Oryzias latipes: one gene and its partner. Each later gene encodes a partner of the first gene's protein in a complex. Links are inferred from orthologs where the notes say so. Each region holds a gene or a part of one and is shown on either strand. Other genes may lie near its edges. The genes, in order: espl1 and pttg1.

Region 1 (3,817 bases):
CAATCATTTAAAATACAACCCAACTGTTGGCTCTTACATGTGTGACAGCATAAATAAAACCAATAATTAACACTTTATGTAAAATTTTAGGTTTTATTCAGACAGTTATAGATCATCTCTTAAAAACATTTAGAAGGAAATGACAACTTACTGGTACATTTGATTTAGCTAAAAAATAATGACTTTTTTCCCAAATTATTAATAAAAGATAAATGCCATTTTTTTTATAAGGGGAGCGATTCCATAAGTAGGAACTGACAGTAAAAATGATTTTGTTTGGAGTCATTCCTTACCTTCCCCATGAGTCTGAAGAGAGCTGCAGCCACAGCGACAGAGCTACAGGTCTGTTTAGCATTTCGAACAGAAGGCTGGGCTCCACTTTGGATTAGACCTGACCACATTTCCAGAGCTCTTTCCAACGGCTGGCACAACTCTAAAACGAGACGAACGGGACGCCCTCAAATCAAAAACCATCATTTTCAATTTGACTCCACATTTGAACCATATAAATGGTTATAGGAAAATTTGAGATCACAATATGAGCTAAACGTGATATTATTTGCAGAGTAGTCCGTTGCATTTTACTGTAGTTTGCTATGGTTTTTATTGAACGACGTGTAGATTACTCAGTAAAAATGACCATTTACATGAATTAATAGATGAAAGTAGCACTCTTACTTTTCTCTGCAGCCAAGTTAAAATGGAGACCTTCATAGACCAGACTGCTGTCATGCATCTTCTGCTTCTCTTCAAAATCAAAATCATTGTTCCCAATGTGACTGTTCACACCGGGCGTCTGTTCACGCAGCTCCCTCTGTTTCCTTTCATTCTCCATGGCCTGGATCAAAGACAAAAACAGTTTCAACAGCAATCCAGATTAAGGCAAACCAGCAGGTTGGTTTCACCATTGAGCATTCATTTTTGAATCAATGGTATAATATTCATTATAATTTGAAGGCCCACCCCATTTTAAATTGTGTTTTTAACCTGTTCTTGTTGCATTTTCTGATGGAGGACATGTATAAAGAAAATTCAGATTAAAATTGTAGTTTTTATTTATTCAAACCCTGGTGAATTAAGAACCCACAAAGATACATTTTTTAAAAAGATTGTAGTCGTTTCATGCTAAATAAAATATCGCAAAAGACGGCGAAAATCGCAACAAATTATAACTTTAAATGTGCTAAAACAATCTTATGTCAGCTGGAAATATTCAACCAATCAAATAAATCCATCAATGCATTTGACAAATCGGATGGAGCACTTTTATTTATTTTGAAGCTCTTTTATGTTAGATCCTCGCCTCTTATGTAGACGAGGGTCATTTAGAGCAGTGGTTCCCAACCCCCGGGCCGCGGACTGGTACCGGTCTGTGGGTCATTTGGTACTGGGCCGCACAGAAAGAATAAATAACTTACATCCATTTTATTTATTTCGGAATCTGAAAGAGGTTTTATTTTGAAAAATTGACCAATTCTGTTCCATCCGTCTATGTCACCTTGACGTAGGCCAAGGCGCTCTTGTCGGTCACGTAATAGGTTACCGCTAGAATAAAACCCAGGAGTTAACAAAATGAGTAAAAGAACAAACGTCTTTGGAAAGTTTCTTTGCCAAATGGAAAGGGGCCAGCCAGGAGACAGAAGAGGAGCCTTCCACTTCCAAAATAAAGAAAGCTACATTTGATAGACAGTACTTCATTTTTGCACCACGAGTGTGGGAAGGGGAGAGGATGATGAGACCTGAGCAATGTACAATGTCATGCTTGTCAAAATAAAAGCTCAGAGTTTGTTTTGTTATGTCTCTGTTCCTCCTTCATCGTAGTCTTGTTAACATAATCCAGTGTTTTTCAACCTTTTTTGAGCCACGGCACACTTTAACCTTGACAAAAATCCCGCGGCACACCAGCATCCAAAAAAAAAAAAAAAAAAAAAAAAAAACAGAAATTCATGGTCTGTATTGATCGACAGCCCCCCCCCCCCCCCCCCCCCCCCCCCCCGCCCGCCCGCAATCTCACGTGTATTTTTGTGATAATTGTGGCCGGAAAAGCAAGAAGTTGCGGCTGTTTTTTCTAAGAGATGAAATGAAAGTTAAATTAGAAAAATTTAGAAACTGTTTGTTTGTTGGGGTTTCAAGGCGTTTCGCAAGGACAACTCATTGTGCACTGGGACACTGGCTCTTTAAGCCAATGCATCATGGGAGATGTAGTGTGAAAAGTGCCGAAAACTTGCAGAAAGACTGGCGTCTCTGAGATTTATTGTATTGTCCACTTGTTTCACGGTCTGACACCGGACTCTGTGGAAAGCTACACCGCTAAAGAAGAGCTTTAGCCGGTATTTTTGTTAAAACTGAGCGACTATCAGCAGAATTAAGAACAAGGAAGTGAAGACTTTAAGCACTTCTGATTGGTCAGACTGATGACATGTGATTAAGCCTTCAAGAATGATTGGTGGAGACAGTTAAAGGGACGGGACTTTTCCGCAAACTGTCATAGCTGCAGGTAAATCGCGGTAACGTAATCCTTATCAAAATGTCTTTAATAGAATTAAATAAACACAAAGAAAAAGTAATTTTAAGATCTTTGATATTCCTAACTCCTCAGTGTTTTATCAGGGCCTGTTTGGATGAACAAAGAGCTGATATCCTGGAGATGGGAAATGTTTTTAGATCAGTGAATGAGGGCAATTTCTCCACGGCACACTTGACCATCTCCCAAGGCACACCAGTGTGCCACGGCACACTGGTTGAAAAACACTGACATAATCATCCGCCTACATGGTAATATCCGGTCCGCGTAAACTGAGTGTGACGTCATACCGGTCAGTGGCGTTAAAAAGGTTGGTGACCACTGATTTAGAGTGTAATTTAAGTTATGTCGACTCTTATTTAAATTAAAATGCTGCAGTGAAATAAAAATATTTTTGGTTGTTTTGCTATTTTTCCATGTATCACAAGTTATTTTGTCATCGCAATATTGATCACTAATATCGCATCGTGCCATAAGCAGAGGCTTACTACTGTGCCTGAAGTCCCGCCCACAACTCAGAGGTGCATTTCTAATGAACTTCTGCTTCTCTGCAGAAACTATGTCCTAGGAAACGCCGCAAGTTATTGGATTTTGGCTAAAAACGTATTTCAAAACCACTGGGAACACTTTGAAAATAGATCAAAAAAAATAATCAGAGCGGGACTTTAAAATCTCAATTAGTCACCAAAAGATATTTAACAAAATTTGCTCAATGATTGCTTAGGAGAAATACAAAGAGAATGATGAAAATTCAGATGATCAAAGGCGGATCACCTCTTGAAGATGTTTCTCCAAACTGCAGATAAAAAGCCAAAGTTCAGCGTGGGCTTTGTCATCCTTCAGTCTGTCAGAGTTCTCCGGAGTCTCGACCTCGTCTCCAAGCAGACGCAGAGCTTCACGCGTGAAATCAACTGCAGCACTGTGTGGACACAAAGGAAACCATTGAGATTTCCATCATTTTAGTGCCCAGCAAACATGGCCAGAGAGGATCAGTTTCATTCCCATGGTGTGAACATAGGGGCACAAGGCATAAAATGAAAAAGACATTCTACCAAGTATTGATTAGTAAATTATGGAAAATACATAGAAACGCTCTTACCAGTCGGTGTGTTCTCCAAAGTCCTGGAAGCACACAACCTGAGCCATTTCACAGAGGTAGAGAGCACGGCGATGGCTGTGAGAACTTTCCTCATTACAGATGTCCAGGAGATCACAGAGAGTGTTGTAACGCTCTTGGGCTGTGTCTCTTGGCAACTCCTTGTACGTACGCAACTCTTCCTCCAAAAGGCAAAG
Region 2 (4,533 bases), on another chromosome or scaffold:
ATATTTGGGAGGGTAGCTGGCAGATTGCTCGAGAGTCTCACATTGAGAGCCAATGTCTGCATTCAGGAAAAGCAAAGAATGTACATTGCATGCCAAAAGCAAGAGCTCTCCACAAGCTAAAATGAACACAAGCAGCCATTATGTGGCTGAACATAACACAGTGTTGTCCAATACGGTGATGGCTTTAAAGGAGGGAAAAGAAAAACTCTGAGAAGTCATTTTAAAATAACTGTGCAAGCTGGTGGTACTTGGAAGCGGCAGATTGTTTTAAAGGGGCTGAATTGGGGTCAAATAGCTGAAGGTGTGAAGGAAATGAGAGACTAAACACTTTATAAATCGCAGGCATCTTCTCTCAACATAATCTGCTTCATTCATTGGAGCCACAAAGGGATATAAAACTGGACAACCTTGCTATTCTAAGCACTCCCTCTGGACTAAGTGGTTTCCTTTCTCCCTTAAAAAAAAGAGCAGCACACTTTGTCCTAGCATAGCTTTAAAACCGCTTGTTTATATGCATTACTACTAAGTAATAGTAACCAAGAAATATTGTTTACTTTTAGACAACGCCCGTTGAAAGTTAACGGGATTTACATGACAGAACAGAACGGAAATGAACACTGAAGCTGAGCTGAAATGGGGGCGTTCAGAATGAATGGCCTACGGGGGGATTTGTATTGATTAAACCTTTTAAATATACGACATTTTTGTTACGACGGCAATGAAAAACTAATAATTCTACCAGGCGCAGTTTCGTTAATGAGATAATTAAGCTAGCTGTAACCAGCATGGAGATAAAGGCGTTGTTCTCGATTAAGAATACAATACAAAAGCTAAGACCAGGTACTCCTATCTACAATTTTACAAAGGCACAGCTCTAAATGAATATCCAAAGCATATTTGGGGTGTTTTGGTCAATACAGTGACATTACACTGGTTTAGCTATGATGCCGCGAATTTCTGAAAGGCACAAAAAATGCGGGGAGTTCCTTATTAACACCTAATTCCATCTAACATATCCTTGACGCACATTAAACGTAAAACTAATTCATATTTAGGCTGATGGATGCGTTTAAAAGTAAAACAGAAGACTTACAGCTTGCCTTGCTATCTCGGTCGAAGCCATGATGCTTTCTGTTAGCTCTCCCTCAACTGTCCTCTTTCAGCAGCCCTGCTGAACAGTTAACGTTCCTCAGAAAGATGGCCTGTTTGGAATGTACCATTGAATCTACGGAGTTAATCATGTAGAGAACACGTAGCTTTGCTTTTGCGTCTTGATTACAACAATAGGTACTAGGGAAAAAAAGACATATAACTGCAGTTTATCTTTAAGACGGATTTATTTATAGAAAAATAAACACATAAGATAAAGAAAGATGGTGCAGACATGGTTTCGTCCGATAGAACGCTAGTAAATGGAAGTCAGCAAGCAATAAAAAAATAAAATAAAAGGGGAATAATTAGCATGAATAATTATCCAGTTTATGAATATGGGCAATTTTTGTTAGTTTGGTATTGACTAAATGATTATTTTTTTTCGATAATATGCCCAATTCTGTTCATACAACGCTTTGAAATGAGACACGGGTGAAATTAATTCATGCCAGTCACGTGGGGTACAACGACCAATCATAATCACTGCCCAACGACAGTCACGAGGGCTACAACGACCAATGGAATGAAGTGAACGGATTTAAAAACAAAGGTGCGGAAGCTGTTGTAGCTAGATAAAAAACAAAAAGCAGGATAAAGACGATAAAGCCTTCGGATTGAGACCAAGAACTATTGTTCTTTGAGGTTACTAACACTAAGGTAAATAGACGTGAAAGTAACCGTTGGTTTATCATTCCAAGATTTTACGTAAATGGGCAATTTTTTTTAAACCGTACGTTGCACGACAAACTGCTAACGATAATTTTTAAACCGTACGTAACGTTGCATGACAAACAAAGTTAACCGCTAACAATAATGTAGCATTGGACAAATCTCTGCTGTTTACATTATTGTCAGTAAATGTAAATAAATATTTGTTGTCTGAACTAAATTATTCTGAACTTAATCATTTTCCAAATGGGAAATGTATCCATTATTTTGTAAATAATTGCATAGTTGTTAGATGAAAACAAAATGTCTACTTTAGCTTAGTTTAGTTTTGGGCCTGACAATACATAATCTTCTTCTTAATGCTAAACATCAGCACCAATTAGCAGAAAGCCTTTTTGATGTAAAAAAAAAATAAATAAATCCGTAATTGAACCTCAAAATGCCTGAATTGTGGGGAAACAAAATGAGAATAGCCAACTCTGTTAGTCTACTTATGAATTTCAAAGTGCACCTTTTTTTTCCCCCTTTTCTTTCAATAAATTAAGTTATATTTTTATGAATTTGTGTATATAAAACCCCATTTAAAGTAATTGAAAGTTTTTTGAAACCAAATGTTTTTCTTTTTTTACCTTTTAGCCAAGATGGCAAATGTCATCTTCACCGAACAGGAGAATGTTTGCCTCCGTCCCTCTTCCCTGAAAATGCGTCAGAGGCTTCTGTCTGCTCCAGGTATTAAAAACATGTTCAACTGTTTCAGATTATCTTTGTGGAACTCTGCATGATCCTCCTTTTTATTCTCGCTCTCTATAACCAGAAAAACAGTTGAAGTCTCCAATGTTGGTCAAAAATACCCCTGTCCATTCAGCGCGTAAGGCTTTTGGGGTGGTGAACAAAAAGATCTTAACCCCTTCTTTGAGTACACAAGAGAAAAAAGTTTTAAAACCACAGGTAAAAATAAACACTAATGACAAATGGATTTATTTCAGCAAAAGGCTATTCTGTTGTTTCTGTGTGTCCATATTGCCCTTCTTCTCAATAGGAAGTCAAGGTCGAGCATCCTTCTGAAGCCAAAGGGGAGGAATACCCAAAAATGGAAAATTTTATTCCTTACAACCCTCTAGGTAATGTCATGTTTGTTTGGTTTGCAGGCAAATTATGCTTTTAAGAGGTTTTTTTTTTTTTTTTTTAAACCAAGATGTTTAGTAGTTCCACATTTCCGCTGGTCGTGCTGCAGCTGTATGCCATCTGAAAGTCTTTACTGCTAATGTCACATCATTTCATAGCCACCATGTTTACAATATCCACTCTTATCACTGAGCATAATCAACGGGCACAGCGTCTTTCTGCTCATGAGTGGTGGTTGTTCAAGTAAAAGCAACAAAATGTAATGATGTGAAAGAATTGGAAGTGGCTCAGTGGCCTTGTGGTAGTGTCCACTGTGTTAAACGGCTCCCATGTGTGGCTGTGTCTTTTCTGACTTCTTTGGTTTTAAAGGGGCTTATTCACAGTCTGGGAAATTTTTCACCCATTCCTGAGTTTCTTCATATTTTCAGAGTTTGAGAAGTACAGCATACCCGAGGACTTCATTCCTTTCAGTGGCCTGGCTCTACCCGGATTGGCCTGTTTTACCTCGCCTCTTCTTGAGGAAGACCTGGAAAAGATTCAGCCTCTCCCAGACCCTTCACCTGCAAAAGGGTGCAGATTTCCAGGTATGGTTCTCCTTTATACGTCTGATAAATCTCCTATTTTCAGGAGCTTACAGAGGAAATCACTCTGTTGCAACAAAGGGAAATGCAACAGAACGCCACATGGTGCTTTAAATAAGTAATAAATACTAGGAAAAAGTAATCGTGTCATGTTTTTCAAAATTAGACAGAAAATATTTTAACTTTGAGGTTTGCTTTACTGTTAAAACAAAAAACTTCAAACCATTTGTACACAGATCTAGTAACTTTGGAGTCAACATGTTCGTTTTTTTTCTCTTTTCTTTTGGGGATACAAAATAAACTAGTTTGAATTTTCATTTACTCAGCTCTGTTGCAAAGAACCTGTTTGGCTCCTCAGTGCCCTTGGGGAAACACAGACTGGATTCTTGTCGAATGATCCCAAACTGTAACGTAATAGGAAAGCTTTCCCCCTAAACTACAATGCTGTTCCCTGTTACCTGTTAATCCTTTTAGTGTTGAACAGTTCAAACTATGATCAGACCTGTAGGTTACTCATTAACTGAATCATGTGACTTCCAACAAATGCCACTTGTTATGGCTGTTATTGTTGGAAAGTGTGCCTGTTGGCAGGAAAGCCTTCATAAACTCCTCTTCATTTTCCTTTTTAGATCACAGCTTGGAGCTGGATGCCTTCCTACAAACCCTTGAAGAGCTGACTGTTGAATTCCCCCCAGAACCGCTTACTGACTGCTGATGCCTGTTTGTTAAATGGCTGTTTTTATTATTTGTGTTGAAATAAAGTTTTCTTGGCAACATCTGTGGTCCAGAGTGTGTGTGTGTGTGTGATGGAATGGCTGCAAAAGTGTCAGGGGAGTGAACCTGAACTACTTCCTGCTTTAAACTCCAGCTGTGGTCACGTGTTGGGAGTCTTCTGAAGAGGATCTGCTTCATTAGAATGAACTTTTTCAGTTCCCCTTTCAGAGGAAAGATTTCCAGTCTTTGCTCGGAGTGGAAACTACACGGTGGACCTAAATTGCGCCTAAAG

Evidence for each region.
Region 2: the proteins of espl1 (region 1) and pttg1 are in contact, whole or in part, in a cryo-EM structure (PDB 7NJ1), measured with the Homo sapiens proteins. The link is inferred for Oryzias latipes from reciprocal best matches to the Homo sapiens genes ESPL1 and PTTG1. Residues at the interface, in NP_036423.4 of Homo sapiens: His402, Thr405, Val406, Tyr409, Ser461, Asn462, Tyr465, Tyr468, Arg505, Arg508, Glu512, Glu544, Thr547, Phe548, Arg551, Gln590, Lys593, Ala594, Val595, Arg596, Thr599, Gly600, Arg603, Gln634, Cys637, Tyr638, Trp683, Ile686, Glu690, Ile697; in NP_001269311.1 of Homo sapiens: Tyr111, Pro112, Glu113, Ile114, Glu115, Lys116, Phe117, Phe118, Pro119, Phe120, Asn121, Pro122, Leu123, Phe125, Glu126, Ser127, Phe128, Asp129, Leu130, Pro131, Glu132, Glu133, His134, Gln135, Ile136, Ala137, His138, Leu139, Pro140, Leu141.

Annotation. Positions count from the first base shown.
Region 1 is NC_019863.2:4,433,102-4,436,918, reverse strand, and holds part of espl1 (separin), read right to left. Parts: coding exon 3,624-3,817; intron 3,444-3,623; coding exon 3,299-3,443; intron 839-3,298; coding exon 679-838; intron 434-678; coding exon 294-433; intron 1-293. UniProt on the Homo sapiens protein: Caspase-like protease, which plays a central role in the chromosome segregation by cleaving the SCC1/RAD21 subunit of the cohesin complex at the onset of anaphase. During most of the cell cycle, it is inactivated by different mechanisms.
Region 2 is NC_019868.2:9,721,536-9,726,068, forward strand, and holds pttg1 (securin), read left to right. Parts: upstream 1-1,639; 5' UTR 1,640-1,702; exon of another isoform or gene 1,703-1,809; intron 1,810-2,457; 5' UTR 2,458-2,462; coding exon 2,463-2,550; intron 2,551-2,635; coding exon 2,636-2,769; intron 2,770-2,860; coding exon 2,861-2,942; intron 2,943-3,374; coding exon 3,375-3,530; intron 3,531-4,156; coding exon 4,157-4,242; 3' UTR 4,243-4,303; downstream 4,304-4,533. Other genes in the region: sept6 (septin-6), read right to left, coding at 1,094-1,123. UniProt on the Homo sapiens protein: Regulatory protein, which plays a central role in chromosome stability, in the p53/TP53 pathway, and DNA repair. Probably acts by blocking the action of key proteins.